2 linked regions of the Arabidopsis thaliana genome follow. The protein of the gene in region 1 interacts with the protein of each later gene in a biochemical or structural test. Each region holds a gene or a part of one and is shown on either strand. Other genes may lie near its edges.

Region 1 (4,712 bases):
ATGGGCTTACGTTGGGCCTTATCAGCCCAAATCTCTTCTTATTAATGATACAATGACTCATTATTCATTTTACAATCTAAAGCGTTGTCATTTTGCACACAAAAAAAAAAAAAAAGCGTTGTCATAAGAGTTTAACGATAGTATCAGAAAGATTCAACAATAAATCAGTTATTCAACTAATTATATCCGGCAATGATTCTTCCGGAGATCATGCTTATAGTGAGTGAGTCCTTTGGATTCGTTGATGATCGATCAGTTGAAGCATTTGCCTTCAATTATGAACTATTAAGGGTGGTCTTTTGAGCAGTAGCCGGGTTTGTTGCCACAAATTGTTAGATTTTTGCCGGTTCTTTATTTTTGGAGTCATTTTGTTGTCTTTAGATGTTTCTTATGGAGTCTGCTTTCGGAATTTTTTTTTCGTTACAGAACTGAAGAAGCAAAGGAGACATTGCGGAAACTTAAAGAAGGCATAATAAAGGTGTATTCTATAGGGAAGTTTTTGACGGCTTACTTTTGATGAGACTGATTTGTATTGTTTAAGGAACTTAGCCATGGGATCAAGCTATGAAAGTATTTAATTTCAGGTTCTCTAGAGATCACACAGCCAAAGTTCAAAATTATATGTGGGATTGGATAGGAGAAGAAAAAACAGACAACCTTATGTAAATATTCCATTTGTTTCACCACAAACATGATAATGTAAGACATTAAACTCCCATCTATAAGATCCCGCGGCTCTGTTCTTTAGGTCAAGAAGACAAGAACGAATAGGATGATGAACAAGACGAGCAAGAAACATATCATCATCATTTGACCTTTTGCTCCAGCTTTCTTCATTACCATTCCCACTTTTTTCTGTCACAATACCATTTTCATTCTTTCAGTTTTTACTTTCTGCAATCAAACCAGCAACAAGACCTTTAAGGGGTTTACCTGAACAAATTCAAGACGGTTCTTTGTGCTGTCCATCTCCGTATCCAATTCATCTATTATTCTCTCCTGAACACACACAATAACAAAAACTTGATGTTTCTGATCTCTACTGATACGTCCTACTGTTAAATCATCTTCCCATATTACTAACCTGTGCAACGAGTTCGTCGTGTATAGTGAGCCCCACTCCTCCAATTCTCTGTACACTTTTACTAAGCTCATCCAATTCTTCGTCTTGTTGCCTGAAGTGAAAAAAATGATGTTAAGTTATGGCACTACTCTGTTTTTGAACAACACTATGCTACAATCTTCAGTCTAAAATCGTTATAAACTCAGAAGCAAAGAAAAGACTGCAAAACAATGTAGAACACACAGAGAGAGCTTTACTTTATCAACAGCATTTGCCTATCTGATTCTGACTGTACAAAACCATCATCGTCTCTCCCTCCATACTGATCATATCTACTTGCTTCACCCGAGTTTGGCATTCTCATTAGTTCTCTACGCACTTCACTTGCATGACCTGCTCCAGAACTAACCTTTCCAGCTAAAACACCAGACTTCACATTCCGCACCTATAAAAAAAATCGTAATCGTCTTGCACAAGTCAACTAACAACAAATTTATGCCACTATGTAAAGCAGTATTCATAACAAACTTAGAGAACATACCTGTGTCCTAGCATTACTAGTCCATCTCCTCCGTTTTTCAAGCTCAGCTTCATCAATGCCATACCATGAAGGATCTTTTGCTGCAACAGTAATCGCTTTTTCCAGCTCATCTACCTTCCTATCAGTAAAAACAGCTTCAATAGCCATGAAAGGACTCGAATATATTCAATTGGAATTTCTAATCATGTAAATAAGGGCCAATACATTCCTACAAGATCCATTTACAAACACAAATCCTATTCCACACCAGCTAAATTATATATAAAGACGAGATTAATAGAACCGTGACTAAATACGAGTACCTGCCACTCAATGCTTCCACAAGTAGCAACAAGCTCCTTCGCCACATGTGCTTGATCACCCATGTCGGGAGAGATACGCTCCCATTTGTGGAATGTAGATTGCAACTTATCAATCTAACAAAGCATCATCCATCAATCACTGTACTTCAAAATCTAAACAAAAAAACATCTCTGGCAATTTCTGAACAACTTACAGAATCCTGAATCTCTTCTTTAACAATGTAGAATGGATCTTGAGCTGAAGACATCCCGAAATCAACAAAATTTTGCTACCCTATACACCAAATAACACAGCTGATTAAGCTATAGAAACAAGTTCTTATGCAAAGTTAGTTACAGAAACAGAATTTTGAAATTTCATCTCATTGGCAGGGATTGTTCTGGAGATGCGCAAATTCTACGATTGCAAAATTAGAGTTCCTAAGTCACAATGATCAAACTCGACAAAACTATTAGATCCAGAGAAATTCCGATTAAATCCTGGCTAATCTAGGGTTAGAATTTTATTCAATAGAACCGGAACGGCTTTATCAATCTATGTGCTTTAAGATCGACACAAACATTGGAGAAAAAGCTTGCGTTTAGAGACGATAACGACAAGGATCAATGCGAAAGGAGAATTGATGTAAGAGGAAAATTGAAGAAGCTTCCTTACCTGTGAAGGAATTAATCGAAAGGTGACGCGACGGAGAACAAACGACGGTGAAGTAAAAGAGATTCCGGCGTGAGATTCGTCTCTCTTACATAGCAAAACGCATCACCTGCGGTTGGCTTTGAGATTCGCTGAAAGTTTATTTTTGGGCTACTGGAGAATCTTATAAAGCCCAATAAGAGACCACAGAGCCCAATAAGTTATTACAAATCTACGACAGTATTAATAAAGACCATTTTCTACGTTACAAAATTTTGATTATTAACTGTTATAGAAAATGGTTATATTGAAACGCATATTTGGCATTTGTTATAGAAGAAAGAAACCACTCTTGCTGAGTTTTTGTTGGTTAAAGCGTGACCTAAGTCTGTCTATTGAGAAGATTCATAGTCCATGAAAAATCCGATGCTACTATAAATGATTGTTTACTAATCCTAGAAACCAAAAACAAATAATTGTTTTCTCAATTCAAAAATTGTATGGTAAAATTTTAGGGTTTACACATTTAAGATTTTAAGTGTTATAGATTTCCGGTGCACAGAAGAATGGTATATATTGTGAGTTTGTGATTAGTTTTGTTATGCAAACTTCTCACGTTAGGCAACTGTAAATATAATATCTCCAACAAAGCGGTCATGCAATTTGTTTTGTTGAAAATTTGTATATTTTACTAGCGGTCATGAATTTTTAAATCCCCCACACTCTATTTTTTAAAATATTTTTAACGTTTTGGGACCATGATGGATGTTGAACTTTCATTTCAGGATTTGGTGGAACGATAAAATTGGAAAGGCTTTGGAGTTTGGAACCTGAAGAACTTATAAAGTTAAAGGATGACACGTGACTTTAATAAAGAAATGCAATTCCCATAATCATATAATAGTCCAAATTTAGGAAGAAATGGGTGACATGAGTTTTAAAGAAGAAAGACGTCATGATTCCATTAAAACAAACCAAATTAGTTGGTGGCTTGGTGCTGACGTCTACCGACTTTTCCACCGTCCATCCTTCGACGATGGTTCTTTCTAAATGACCTTCTCAGTTTTTTCCTGTCATGCGTATTATTATTATTAGTTAATAAGGCTCCACTACTACTCGGAAAGTCCGAGTACAAATAATATGACAATAATGTCAAACTTATTCTTAGTATTGGTTTAAAAGAAGGATTCAACAAGAGTACTTAATCACGTCTCATAATTACCACTTTCATCCAAACATGGTCATTACTATATGACATGATCGTGTTACATTAATTTGGAAAGTAGTATATGTCTTTTTCCTAAAAGTTTATGTTTAGATTTTTGATCACTAAGAATATAATGTCATATATATTATTAACCTTTACACCTAAATGTTATATTAATTACTTGAATGATAAAACGGAAAATATCGAAAGTTTAGGCTAGGTCTCTCTAGCATCTCTAGTGTATTTATTTAGCAATCCCAAAACAAAATTGTGTTTTCTACAATTTTAGTATTAGATTACCAAAATTGTTGTATATAGTCTGGTGATTCCGTTTTGATGGTCGAGATCGAAAGAAGCAAGCATCCACTATGTGGTCGTCACATGCGAATATTTCTAAGTATACAACCATCTATCGAAAGTTTCGAAACAACCCAAATATAATAGTAATAAATTCTGAGAATTCTCCTATTTTTTATTGATATGAAAAAAGCAGTAAAATATTATGTAAAGTAGAGAGGAACCAAAATTAAAACGTGCAGATTTATTAAAAGAATAAAGTGGGATCCAAAAAGTCAGCGTGAAACATGTGATACGATATAACGACACGGTCCTATGACTAAGTCCACTCCAATCCAGTGACGTAAACAGCACCATCACCCATAGCTTCCTGTGACGCACATCCTTACGTAACCATCGTTGACGCTAGACTTTCCTCTCTGATCTCTCTTTCTTCATGTATATATAACAAAACCTTCCTTTCCTAATTGGTATCTATCTTTAAAAACATACTTGAAAATGCAAGGAACGATTTCTTGTGCAAGAAATTATAACATGACGACAACCGTCGGGGAATCTCTGCGGCCGCTATCGCTTAAAACGCAGGGAAACGGCGAGAGAGTTCGGATGGTGGTGGAGGAGAACGCGGTGATTGTGATTGGACGGAGAGGATGTTGCATGTGTCATGTGGT
Region 2 (5,277 bases), on another chromosome or scaffold:
ATATTTTAAATGATAATTGGTAAACATCCATGCACATGTTGTTTGAGGTTTTTTTTTGGTTATACATGTTCAAGGATTTTATTGAAGCACTATATATAATATAAGTTTTAAATTTATTATATACATGCTACATTTAAAAAAGATAAAATATTATCATAAATTTTAAAAAATTCTTAGATATGTAATTTATTATATTTAAAGGTAATTTAAAGAATCATTAGAAACAGATAAAAAAAATAATGTGCTATCCAGGATAATACTATCTTTTTTAAGCGCTGATATAATCATTATTTAATTTTTTTTTTATATTTTTCTTTTAAAAACCCTCCAGCTAATTATCTACAAAAATAATAACACAAATTTAATATTAAAATTATAATTTTTGTCAACAGTATGATTATAATATGGGTTTGAACCATGATAATGACACAATAACAATACAAGTTCAATTAGGCTATTTGGCATGACCAATTTCAAACTAGAGTTGAGAACTTGAGATGTAATTTAATTCATATTAACTCATCACAAAAACGTGTATAAAGTTTTCATTGTTTCAAGTGAAAAATATTTATACATTTGTAAATGATATATGTTTTTAAAAGAACTAGAATGTTGAGAATTTGTAATTTATGCGAAGATACAATAACCGGAAAGTAAAAGATTTCAAACAAACTCGTTTTCACATTTGAATACTCCACCATGTAGTGCTCGCAGCTACGATTCCATCTTGCCCGAAATCTGGTCACTCCAATGAACGTCTTCACCGGAAAATCCACAAGTTACAATGGTCAAAACCATTTTGTCAAAAACAAGTTCCAACAACTATGACTGGAATCTTATACATTTTAAAAGAACACTTGACTTTAGCGTGAAGAGAGTATTTTGGCGTTGGTGCACAGATCTCTCAACTCCTCAGACATCGACCTCTGACTATCTATGGTCTTCTTCTACACAATAATATTACGTACTAACTACTCTGCAAAGGATCTTAGTATTGTTAAATGCAAAGAAGTTGAAACCAAAAGCCCTGAAGGAAAACATGCGATGTTCGGGGCTAAAGAATGAAATAGTTAAGGATCGAACTTTTCTTATTGATCTAACCAGGGATTATAGTATCCGATCACAAGAATATTTCCTTGAGGATTAAGAGTAGCAGCATGATGAAACAGAGGATGACAAGCACGGATGCGCACTTCACCATACCTCCATGTCTCTGCGTTCGCTCTGCCTGTGAAGTTTTTTTATGCGATCCACTTCATTTAGAATTGGGACAAACAAATAGTTGGACATTAATGTTGAAGAGAGAACACTATTTTTACCTTCTGTAGTTGTTTGAGACCATCTTCAACAGTAGTAGCGACGTTTTCGATATTATAGTCTATCCGATCAACTATTGTACCCTGCAATTAAACGGGTTGCTTTGAGTTTGTTTTTCGAAAGGAAGAAGACTCAAAAGCTAGACAAAGAGAATATGGGATTAAATAAGTTTAACCTGATCTATCACAAGTGCAGAAAGATCCTTCATAATTTGAGCAAGATCGTTTACTGATTCTACAACCTGGACAATGACACAGACAACGAAGAAGAAAAAAGATTATGATTGATTGCAAAAGAAAAAAAAAAACGTTGGTGAGCTACAAACAACTAAGAACAAAGACGTAGTGCAAGCACTTGCCTGTTGTATCTCTTTCTCCCTCTCTACAGATACTTCTTCACTCTTTTTTATCTTTGACATCTGATGCTCGTTTAACTAAAAAGGAATCGAGAAAAAATTCCATCAATAAAGAAGACATAAGACGAATGATTGCTTTAAATCGATAGAATGAAACAGGTATAGGAGTCAAACCATATCGCCAAAGTCATCCTCTTCAGGTCTATATCTGTTTCTGCTCAGATTCATCTCTAAATCCATCCCATCCTGATAAATGATAATACATTTCAAGTCAAAGCTTCTTGAGAGGACAGAATAATATACTCTGAAAAAACAAGTACTAAAAGAATCTATCATCTATGAAATCGATGTAAAGAAGTTTCATTTGAGGCGGAGGAGCAGAAAGCAAACAAAAACTTCAAAGAATGAGACACTGCAACATCACATAGTTTCCGGTATAAGAAATGCCAATTACACTAAAATAGATAATAGTTTCATACCTCTTTTTGCTGCCTCAAGCGTTTCAAATATGTTGACTGTTTTTTGCGAAGCTCCATAGAAAGAAGTTGGAGGTCAGTGGCAAGAGACCGCTGTTATTAAACACACATGATAAATCTTAGATAGCAATGGCAAATGCAGCAAAAAGAAAGGAAATGTGTTAAGAGCAGCTTCCATCAAGTCAAAACTACCTGCACATTTTTCCTAACATTTGAATCTTCAGAAGGCCCTGAAGCAGAAAGCCTCTGAAGTTGCTTCTCAGACTTCTTCAATAGAAAAGTTATCTCCTGTGTCAAAGACTCAATATTATGTTGATCTTCTTTACCATCCCCAAACGATGGCATTAACGCCTTGGCATGAGCCTTTCCCAACTCAGCCATTTTAGTCCTTGCACGCTGTATATTCACAGATATCTCCTCAGAGACATCAACCCAAGCTGGTGGTAAGCCCACTGTTATCGCACCTTTACTAAAACATGACCAAAAATATCTCAGTAACTACTAACTCTCAGCTTAACGTAGCTCACAGACATTTACTTCAACTACACTATCAATGATGTATTATCATTCTCATTGCTAAGCTAATCATTTCCAGTTAACCCTAATTGATCAAATTGTTCACCATTTTCACTGATAAAGAGAGAGAAGAGTACCTAGAAGTTCCAGGATCTTCGGTACTAATAGGAGCGTAAGAGCGATTCGGATTCAATAACGAAGTACTCGCCATCTCGATCACCGGACCAACGCCGCCGGATCGTGTTCCCGTCAATGAAGATGACGACAATGGAGCTCTGACGCTTCTCAGAGAGTTTCTGTACTTCCTAAACAGCAACGTACGATTCCTCGTCGCCATGATCGTCAAAATTTGAAATCCCTAGAATCTCAATTTCACATCCAAATTCGAAATCAGCTCCGATCTGAACACAATCGCGGCTTCATCATCGACCGAGAATAAAACCGAACACAAAAATTGGGACTCCGACAAGGAAGTGCTCGGAGAGCGGCGAGATCAAAACTTTTTCCGATGAGGAAAGTAAACTCTCAGATTTGCAAATTGAGGTTTTCACTTTTCACTATTTCCCCAAAACTTAAAACTTTGGAAACAGTAAAAAAAAAAGTTAAAAAACAGTTGCGCGGCTAACTTTGTCCTGTTTCACCAGCTTACCAAATACAAACCAATAATATTTCGACACGTAAGCGTCGTACTAACAGCATGACGTTTTGATATTCCAAAAGGGAAAAACACGGCGGGTAAAAGGTTTAAACGGCATGCATTCGTGCGGGCTGTTAAAAAACAATTTAATACATGTAATAGAACTCATCTCTTCTATGTCTTTCACTCTCTCTCTCTCTCTATATCCAAAGAATTAAAAACCATAATAAAAAAAGAAGATAAAAAGACGAATTCCAGAAAAAAAAGACGCAAAATCGTCGTCGTCGTCTTCGTCTTTGCATTTCGTCGGAATCTTTTGATTCTTGAATCGGAATATCTCTGTTTTTGTTTTATCCGGACTCAAGATCAATTCGGATTCTTGGAATTTATTTGATTTTTTGTTGTTGTTGTTGAAAAAGTGGATTCTTTGGTTTCGATTTGTAATAATCTTCGTAGAAAAAATGGATTCTGATTCTTGGAGTGATCGTCTCGCATCGGCTTCAAGAAGATATCAGCTCGATTTCTTGTCTCGATCTGGTGAGTTTGATAAAAATTATAACTTGGATTTGTTCTTTCTTAATTTGAGATTTGATTGGTTTTGTCTTAAATTTAATCTTGATTCTATTGCAAAAATATCAATGATATTTAGACCTCAAATTTGTTTTCTTTTGAATTGATCAAGGATCGAGATTGACTGTAAGAGATTGACATTTTTGTTACTGTTCTGGTTTTCCGAACAAAATGGGACAAGACATTGATTGTGTCTTGTTCTGAATATTTGAAATGGTGATTGTTCAAATGTTTGTTTTGCTGATATTGAATTTAAGGAAAATGGAGGAAATAAATTCTGTCTTTTGAGGCATTTTACTAATGTGAGGCTTTAGGGATTGATTAAGCGTGTGTGTTTTGTTTCTAGGTTTTGGTATGAACTTAATGTCAAAAGCTGGAATCTTGATGATTCTTGTTTGACTTACAAGTAAATACAAAACTTCTTGTTGGTAAAAACGTTTTTAAAAGCTTTAGTTTCATCTCAAACTTAGACGTCTTTGCCAGGGAAGGTTTTATGATCTACTAGTTTCCATTCGTTTATTTAGATATCTTTGATGTTTCTTCTGAAACCCATTTGTATTGGAACTTCGAGAATGGAACGCGTTTTTAGTATTTCCCATTTTATTTTCTAGGCTTTTGTTTTGTAGTTGTCATTTTATTTTCTAGGCTTTTGTTTTGTAGTTGTCACATTTTCGAATGTTCTCTTGGCCGTGTTTGACTAGTTTCTTCATTTTTGAAAAACGCAGACAATTTCTTGGGGTTTGAGGAGATAGAAGGAGAAGATGACTTCAGGGAGGAGTATGCTTGCCCGTTCTGTTCAGACTATTTTGATATCGTCTCTCTATGCTGTCACATTGATGAAGATCATCCTATGGATGCAAAAAATGGGGTAGATATTTCCTCAATGTTACCTTTCTCTCGTTTTGAATCAAAATCTATTTATTGTTTCATCATATCATTCTTGGTAAGAGCACTGTTCTATGTTTAGTAGTTACTGGTCTTGGATATAAAGAAAGTGAAAGTAACCTAATGAAATGCGTCGAAATAGTATTTGGAATTGCCACTCAGTGTTCCTCAGAGAAGAAATCAACTCTAGGACACTTGTTTATTGCTACAATAGCAAGATTTGTTTTCAATTCTGCGTTTTGACATTGTTAATCTTGTAGGTATGTCCCATTTGTGCGGTGAAAGTGAGCTCTGATATGATTGCTCATATAACCCTACAACATGCAAATATGTTCAAGATATCCTTTTTGCTCTCTCTACCAGTTATATTTTTAACGATCATGTACTTATCTGATTCTTCCAATGAGTTGTGTTAATGATATGAATACTTCCTGATTTATGATTTAGGAAATAGTTTAGGATTTACTTTTCCTAGAGTCTTTTATTTATGTTCTGTTAGAAGTAAGGGTTAGGTTTTGTTT

The links. Proteins that work in one complex are often made in the same cells at the same time.
Region 2: the proteins of SYP61 (region 1) and SYP41 form a complex in vitro, tested with the Arabidopsis thaliana proteins (one study listed by BioGRID).

What each region holds. Positions count from the first base shown.
Region 1 is NC_003070.9:10,013,875-10,018,586, reverse strand, and holds SYP61 (syntaxin of plants 61), read right to left. Parts: upstream 2,732-4,712; 5' UTR 2,562-2,731; intron 2,181-2,561; 5' UTR 2,155-2,180; coding exon 2,101-2,154; intron 2,021-2,100; coding exon 1,907-2,020; intron 1,837-1,906; exon of another isoform or gene 1,752-1,836; coding exon of another isoform or gene 1,719-1,751; coding exon 1,605-1,718; intron 1,509-1,604; coding exon 1,321-1,508; intron 1,176-1,320; coding exon 1,085-1,175; intron 1,000-1,084; coding exon 934-999; intron 856-933; coding exon 745-855; 3' UTR 540-744; downstream 1-539. Other genes in the region: GRX480 (Thioredoxin superfamily protein), read left to right, coding at 4,540-4,712. UniProt on the Arabidopsis thaliana protein: Vesicle trafficking protein that functions in the secretory pathway; the fusion of phospholipid vesicles containing SYP61 and VTI12 is triggered by YKT61 and YKT62. Together with VTI12, required for membrane fusion.
Region 2 is NC_003076.8:9,487,604-9,492,880, forward strand, and holds SYP41 (syntaxin of plants 41), read right to left. Parts: upstream 3,490-5,277; 5' UTR 3,002-3,489; coding exon 2,802-3,001; intron 2,618-2,801; coding exon 2,341-2,617; intron 2,242-2,340; coding exon 2,152-2,241; intron 1,919-2,151; coding exon 1,847-1,918; intron 1,751-1,846; coding exon 1,676-1,750; intron 1,559-1,675; coding exon 1,493-1,558; intron 1,401-1,492; coding exon 1,320-1,400; intron 1,229-1,319; coding exon 1,121-1,228; 3' UTR 530-1,120; downstream 1-529. Other genes in the region: AT5G26990 (Drought-responsive family protein), read left to right, coding at 3,763-3,838, 4,597-4,739, 5,017-5,094. UniProt on the Arabidopsis thaliana protein: Contributes to the regulation of secretory and vacuolar transport pathways in the post-Golgi network, and to the maintenance of the Golgi apparatus and trans-Golgi network (TGN) morphologies. Together with VTI12, required for membrane fusion.